Linked DNA regions of Tamandua tetradactyla. The protein of the gene in region 2 interacts with the protein of the main gene of each other region in a pairwise test. Links are inferred from orthologs where the notes say so. Each region holds a gene or a part of one and is shown on either strand. Other genes may lie near its edges.

Evidence for each region. The genes of interacting proteins can lie anywhere in the genome.
Region 1: the proteins of THAP1 (region 2) and TCEA2 interact in binary tests that used the Homo sapiens proteins (3 or more experiments, as listed by UniProt). The two-hybrid records come from large-scale screens. The link is inferred for Tamandua tetradactyla from reciprocal best matches to the Homo sapiens genes THAP1 and TCEA2.

Annotation. Positions count from the first base shown.
Region 1 is NC_135327.1:61,526,769-61,530,516, reverse strand, and holds the start of TCEA2 (transcription elongation factor A protein 2), read right to left. Parts: upstream 2,866-3,748; 5' UTR 2,677-2,865; coding exon 2,605-2,676; intron 1-2,604. UniProt on the Homo sapiens protein: Necessary for efficient RNA polymerase II transcription elongation past template-encoded arresting sites.
Region 2 is NC_135329.1:18,331,135-18,334,882, reverse strand, and holds the start of THAP1 (THAP domain-containing protein 1), read left to right. Parts: upstream 1-856; 5' UTR 857-868; coding exon 869-960; intron 961-3,122; coding exon 3,123-3,318; intron 3,319-3,748. UniProt on the Homo sapiens protein: DNA-binding transcription regulator that regulates endothelial cell proliferation and G1/S cell-cycle progression.

The DNA.
Region 1 (3,748 bases), on a different chromosome or scaffold from region 2:
GTAAGAATCTACATGCCGCCCAGGCCAAAAGGAAATGGGACCCTCCACCTGGTGACCAACATTGCAAAGTGCCTCTCATCAGCCCGGAGGGGCAGGAATGAGAAGGACAATCCAGCCCAGCCTTCCAACCTGACAACTTCCTCATAACCACCTTACATCACTCTCTAATCTAGACCCCACAGAGGCCCAGAAGAGCATCTGTGGGGCACTGCACCTCCCAGCAGGTGATTGAGAGCCACATCTCAGGGGACAGTATGGCCAGCCCAGAGGAACAAACAGTCAACCCAGGTAGGTGTGGTCCTGTGTCTTCCACCCACCTGTCCCCATGTCTTGGGCAGAGGTTGTGGGTTTCCCTACTGAGGACCCCACCAGGGGCATGTCCTCCTGCTCAGGACAAACCCTCAGTGGCATCGGCTGATCTGGTGGGCCCAGCTCTGCACCTCCACCCCTCACCTGGGCCATGATCCCATGGGTCTTCCTCCTCTGACCCTGCCCCCAATCTGGCAGATGCATCCCCTCAGCTCTTCTGTTCCAATACCCCTGGTGCTGCCAGCCAGCACTCAGGCGCAGAGTCCCTCCCAGTCCCAGCTAAGCGGAAGCCACATGCCTCAGGGCCTTCACGCCTCCCTGGAGTACTAAAGGTCTCACCTCTATCCTTCCTCCAAATCTTTGCTCCAATGACACTACCTAAGCAAGGCTTTTCCTATTGAAACTGCAACCTGTGCCCACCCTACTTGACTGCCTCCAGATGCATCACTTTATCCCATATTGACATGTCTCTCCCCACCAGACAAGGGCAGGGGGCCAGGGATGACCCCTGAGGGATCAACAACCCAGCCACCCAAGGGAATAAGAGTTAAGAGGTCCTGAAGCCTAGAGGCTTTGGGGGGGGGGGTGGGCGGCTCAGCTGGACACTCCCCACCCCCACCCCAGGCTGCCTCTCTGCTCAGCAGGCCCCACCCCTGGGGTGACTTCGGAAGGGACAGACAGCCCCGCCCACCACTCATCCCCAACCAGTCTCCTGGGGACCAGAGGAGGCATAAAAATGTCGGTGTGGGAGCCATGGCTGCGGCAACGACTTCTGGCTTCCCCAAACACAGCCCCACATCTCCGGAGGGACTTCAGACGCTTAGGCAAGCTGCAGACTCTGACGGGTGGAGCCCCCCACCCCCACCCGCCCCTCTCCCCATCTTCTGAGGACTGAGCTTCCCACCTAGACACGACCCTCAGTGCGCCCTCCCTGGGTCCCGTGATTTTTGGCACACACACCCAGCTTGGGCATTATCCTGTTTGTCTCCTTTACCAGGGGAAGCGACTTCGTCCCGCAGTCATTTCTGGAAATGGCTACATCAAGGCTCAGCCTCGCCTGGGCTCTCTGTTGGTCCTTTCACGCACATTGCGCACAGACCCCAGGACAAAAGCCCGAGCAGGCCCAACTCTGACTGGGTGAAGGGCCAAGTGGGAGCCGCCCCTCCCCATGCATCCCCAGGCAGACCCCAGCCCAGAACCCGTCACCCGAGATCCAGACTCAACCCTACCCAAAACCTCTCCCAAACCAGCCTGGAGGTCTACACAGGTATCTCAGGCCCATGACTCACCCCCTGGGTCAGGCCTGAGAGCAGAGCCGCAGCTGACACCCCTGGAGGCGCCCCATGAGTGCACCCCAGAGGCCCCGCCCCCAGGAGCTCAGTCTGAAGGAAGAATAGGTCATGTTTCTTGAGCAGAGTGCCACTGCTGTCTGCGGCAGGACCGCGGTGACCCCTCCCCACTACCCTGTGGGCAGGTGCAACCCACCAAGGATGCTTCCTGAGTGACCTCCTGGGGGCAACCCCAGCATCCTGGGCCATCCTAGCGGCCATGGCACTGTGCCTCCGAGTAACAAAGGACTCAGGTGGGTCCTCGGGGGTCTTATAAAAGCCCACAGGCTTCAGCCTGAAGATCTCTACACATCGACCCCCCCCCCCAAGTCGCTGCAGGCTGCGTTCTGGCTAAGGGAGCGAGGGAGCGTTTATTAAAGACCTGGACTTTGGGGATGGGGGTGAGGGGGTCGCTGCCTGGAAAGGCCTCTGGCCTGTGAAAAGGGATGAGAAGGAAGACCTAGGGGAGGCACTGGTAGCTGCGGGGAAAGGGGCTAAGGGAGTGAGGAGCTCAGACGGAGGCGAGAAAAGGGATGGGGAACCTGGGCTGAGAGAAGCTCTGAGTTGCAAACCAGGGTTGAGGAGGGGGAGATCTAAAGCCAGAGAGGCCATCCAGGCAGGAAGGGAGGAAGGCCAGGGGGGCGGGGCAACCCCAGGAAAGTTTCCACTGGCCCGCGCTCGGGGGTCACAGCCCAGGCTTGAGGGTCTTGGTGTGGCGGGAGGGGTCTGAATTCCGGCCCGGCGGTTCACGGGAAAAGGTCCGGGCCAGATCGCGGTCAGTGCCGGGGGCGCGGGGTTGAAGGCAGAGGTGGCCCCGGGCGGGGGCTTCGGACTGAGGCGGGGGTCTCCCCGCGTCCCGAGGCTCTGCCGGGACGGGGTCTCGTCCTGCCGCTCGGGGCCCCAGGCGCGGACGGCGGGGCCTCGACGGGGCGGGGGTCCCGGGTTCCTGGCGGCCCGCGCCCCTCACCGCGCTCTTCTTGGTCACCATCTTGTCCAGCCTGCGGGCGATCCGCGCAATCTCCTCCTCCTTGCCCATCATCGCCACCGGGAAGGCGCCCTAGCGCCCGCCGCACCAGTCCCGGCAGCCCGACTGGGACCCCAACCCGATAGCCGCTGCCTCCCACACCGCAGCGACTCCCAGCCCACCGCTGCCTGCGCAGCCCCGCCGCGGGTGGGAGACCTTCGGTTCAAACACCCAACCCCGCGGCCGCCGCGCTGCATGTTGGGGCGCGTAGTTCCCGCGCCCGTCCGCCCCGCGCGCGCTCCCTGCATCGGACCACGACTCCCAAGCTGCCCCGCGCGCGCTCACAGCCCTCTGGGAAGTGTAGTCCCGAAACTGACCGTCGCCGCGGCCCGTGCCAGCCGGAAGACTCGCAGTACCAGAAACCACCGCGAGGAGGAGCTGCGGGCCGCGTCAGCCCCGGGGGTTTGCAGGGAACGCAGAGGCTGCAGGGCAAGGGGCCGGGCCCTGGAGGGTGGTCCGCCGGTCCCGGGTCGGGGGCCGTGTTACGCCCCGTCGCGGGCCCCTGCGTTGCCTCTGAGGCTTCTGCGGGGGTCCGGCAGTATTGGGTTTGTGTCTGGCGCCTTCGAGCCCGTTCCCTCACACGGGTGACCCAGCAGAACCTCCCACCCCACAGCCCTGCTCACCAAACCCCCCGACCGGCCCACCACCACAGAGACCCCTTCCGCCCGGGTGGCCTGCCTCTGCCCGAAAGTTCTCCCTCGTCATACCCAGACTCAGTTTGGGTTGACCCCAACCGCTACTCAGAAGGTCATCTCTCCAAGACCCAGCTTGGGGGCGTCCGGGAGGCAAGCATAAGCTGGAGGCTGCTGACTCAGGGGTCAGCCTGGCGGGCTAGAATCCCGAGCTCTACACCTCCAGCCGTCCTTGGACCACTCCGTGCCTCCATTTCCCCATCTGTGAAATATAGAGGACAGTACCTGCCTTGCAGTGCTTCTGGCAGGTTGAATCGTGATTGATGTCAGGCACTGAGAACAGCCTGGGATGGGGCAGTTAGAGTCGTGGTGCCTGTGGTTGCAGAGCAGATGCTCAGGGTCGGGACCTGGCTGGGGGTGGTGGTGGGGCAACAGGGGCAGCGTCCATATTAGAT
Region 2 (3,748 bases):
CTGTAACTGTTGGCCAAAGCTACAGAAGAAACAAGGGTGTCAAAGCCGAAGGCGGCGACACGGATAGCGGCTTCACCTGCCTGCCGTGACGGCAGAAGTGAACTGACTGAGGACCGGAAGGATGGTGCAGTCCTGTTCCGCCTACGGTTGCAAGAACCGATATGATAAGGATAAGCCCGTTTCTTTCCACAAGTAAGTGTCCTCCGTGCCTCGCGGGACCGGCCCCAGCTGGGACTGGGGACGCGCGATCGGCTAGTGTCGGGGGCGGAGCCCGGCGCGGGTCTGCTTTGAGACTGAAGAGGGAGCGGAGGCAGGAGCAGGGGGCGGAGGCAGGGGCGGGGCGCGCCGCGTCGGGGGCGTGCCGGGCGGGGGTCCTCGTGGAGAGGCGCGGCTCCTGCGCCCGAGCCGCGCTCTTCCGGGCCGCGCGCGTTCGCGGTGCGTTGCCGCGGTGACCGTTACTCGTGGTCGGAGAGGCGCACTTGTGTCGCTTGCTGACGGACTCGTGGTGGCGAGTTCCGAGCCCGTGGGCGAGGCGCCGAGTCCCCTCGGGTGCTGAGATGTCGAGGCTCTCAGATCCGAGCCCTGCAGAGTGAGGTGGCGGTAACTCCTCAGCGGCGTTTTTGAAATAGAAACAAAGACATTTACAAAGACGGTGGACGTCAGTTTTTCGTTCCTGAGAAACTTTCTGTGAATGGGCGGCCAGAATCGCAGCAGTATGGATTCATTTTCTGGCCAGGATTTGAGGGAGCGTTTTATTAATTTTTTATTTAACTCAAAGGAACAACGTCAGGGACTCCTAAGTCTTAGAGGAAAGCTTCTGGTACTGCCACGATAACTGATTGTCTTTTCAGCACACCGTAGTCGTAATATGGACCATAATAAATGCCGTGATAAAGGTCAATATGAGGTACTGTGGGAACATAGAGGAAGCCCTCGCAGCCTTCAGGGCTGTTTTATCCAGTAGGTGCTGCAATTACAACCTTATGGCGAAAAATATTGTCTTCTCAATGGGAAAACTACAAAATCGAAATTGAGTTGATGTTGAATGTCTACAGCGTGGGCCATGACGGCATTTTTATTCAGCCAAACTTAGTATTTACAGATTTTAAATTTACGTTAAATTTTCTTTGCGAGAGCTTCCGAATCTACATAGATAGCTGAGAAATCAGAGCAAATAGTAAAATATCAAAAATTTTTCATATTCAAATAATTACAAAAGCCAAATTTTAAGTATTCTTTGGGGTGGGGGGAAATAGAGAGTGGGGATTACATACTGTTTATGTTTAGTCGGGGATGTGGATGATCTTAATCTGTTTGATATAATGTGAGATTGACGCTACAGAAATGGGAGCCTAGAATGTAGATCTTGAAATGGAAGCTTAGAACATAGATTCACGTAGGAGGGTATAGAATACTTGCAGGATTCAGTTCAGTAGAGCCTAATATCTCTTGATTTATTGTAATCTCAGAACCCTAATGACATTGACTTCCAGTAGGAATAGGTCAGATATAGTGCCACTATCGTTTGCATTCAGCTCCCCATCCACGCATTTCTGTTGATACCTCACCTCAGAGGGAATCTAAAAACTCTTCCTTGGCACTGGAAAGTGGTTAAGGATGACATTCACACATTAGAAACATTGAATTTCTGCTGGATATTAAAACGATTGATTCTAAAGAACAGCTAACTGCATCTCACCCCTTACCTAAACAGTATTTGGGGAAGTAGATGGGAAAGATCTTTTTTTTATGAAAAAACGTTTGTTTTATGATTTTTTTATTTAAAAAAATTACAGAAACACAAACATTCCCAAAATGTGATCATTCCATTCTACATATATAATCAGTAATTCACAATATCATCACATAGCTGCAGATTCATCATCCTGATCATTTCTTAGAACATTTGCATCAATTCAGAAAAAGAAACAAAAAGACAACAGAAAAATCAAACGAAAACAGAAAAAAAAAACATACACACCATACCCCTTACTCCTCCCTTTCATTGATCACTAGCATTTCAAACAATTTATTTTAACATTTATTTCCCCTATTATTTATTTTTATTCCATTTGTTCTACTCATCTGTTGACAAGGTAGAGAAAAGGAGCATCAGGCACAAGGTTTTCACAATCACATAGTCACATTGTGAAAGCTATACCATTATACAATCATCATCAAGAAACATGGCTACTGGGACACAACTCTACATTTTCAGGCAGTTCCCTCCAGCCTCTCCATTTCGTCTTAGATAACAAGGTGACATCTACTTAATGCATGAGAATAACCTGCAGGATAACCTCTCGACTCTGTTTGGAATCTCTCAGCCATTGAGATGGGAAAGATCTTGACAGAACCTCACACACAACCTGAGAATTTGTACCTTGGTTCAGGAGGCCATATGCAGCAGGGACCCTCTTAGAAGTACCTTTTCTCCCAGTTTAAACTTGTTGACAGCAGGATGAGCTGTGCTGGACAAAGAGGGGCGATTGTCATTAAGATCAGTTCGCTCTTAATGATAATAGCAGTAAGGCCCTGGCATACCTTAGATGAAAGAGAAACTGTAGAATAGAATATAGGTTTGAAATATGCTTTTTTGGCTTCTTTGAAATCCTCCGGGTTTACTAGATCTTTGACCTGGAAAATAAAATTACAGTAAATTTAAATTCTTCTTACCTCCCTTTATCTGGGCCTAAGGGAGATACTCCATTTACTTAAGAAGTAAGTCAAAATAAAGACATAATTTTCTTTATTTCTTTATCATTATCATTCGCCTATAATTTGATTAATTCAAATTCCATCTGTTCATATTTATCAGATTAATTCTTGAGAACTAGAAGAGTTTTCTTCCCAGCACATAGATATAAATGTGCAACTTTATTTTACAGCACACACATACGTACAGAAAATTACTGGTATAAACAATACTACAAATTCACTTTATGACAAGTATATTGTTTGAGACTTTGTGTCTTCAAATAAAGTTAACTTTAATCAATGAGCTAAATAGATATATGGAGCTATTCTTTAAACAAAAGTTCTTTAGTATGTTAACACCAATGTAAGGTAGTGCTTTTTTTTTTTTAATAATGTCACAGAACTGAGTTATGTCATCTTCTTAGGTTTCCTCTTACACGACCCAGTCTTTGTAAAAAATGGGAGGCAGCTGTGAGAAGGAAAAACTTTAAACCCACCAAATATAGCAGTATTTGTTCAGAGCACTTTACTCCAGACTGCTTTAAGAGGGAATGCAACAACAAGTTACTGAAAGAGAACGCTGTACCCACGATATTTCTTTGTACTGAACCACATGACAAGGTAATTGTGTTTTAAAATATTAGGTGCTTTCCTGTTTATAAAACTAATGTATGTATTGTGGGAAATTTGGAAAATTCAGAGTAATGTTAAGAAAATAAATACTACCTAGTACCCATTACTTATAAATAACTACTATTAACAGAAATATACTGTTTAAAAACATAAGATGCAGTTTATTAAATAAATATTTTCTTTCTTAGAAACATATATTGACTTTGTAACTTAAAGATCATTCTATAACCCTTCTTGTATGTTGGTAAGTTTGGGTTTTTCTTTATCAGCCCATAGTCTTTTGTTCCTCAGTTTTAAGCACTTAGTACATATTTAATTAAATTGAAGTGCTTGTTCTGCCTGTTTATTGCATCATGCTTTACTTCAGGTAGGAAAGTATAACTAAAACTTAAACTGTTTTCTTGTTTTGGACAGTTTC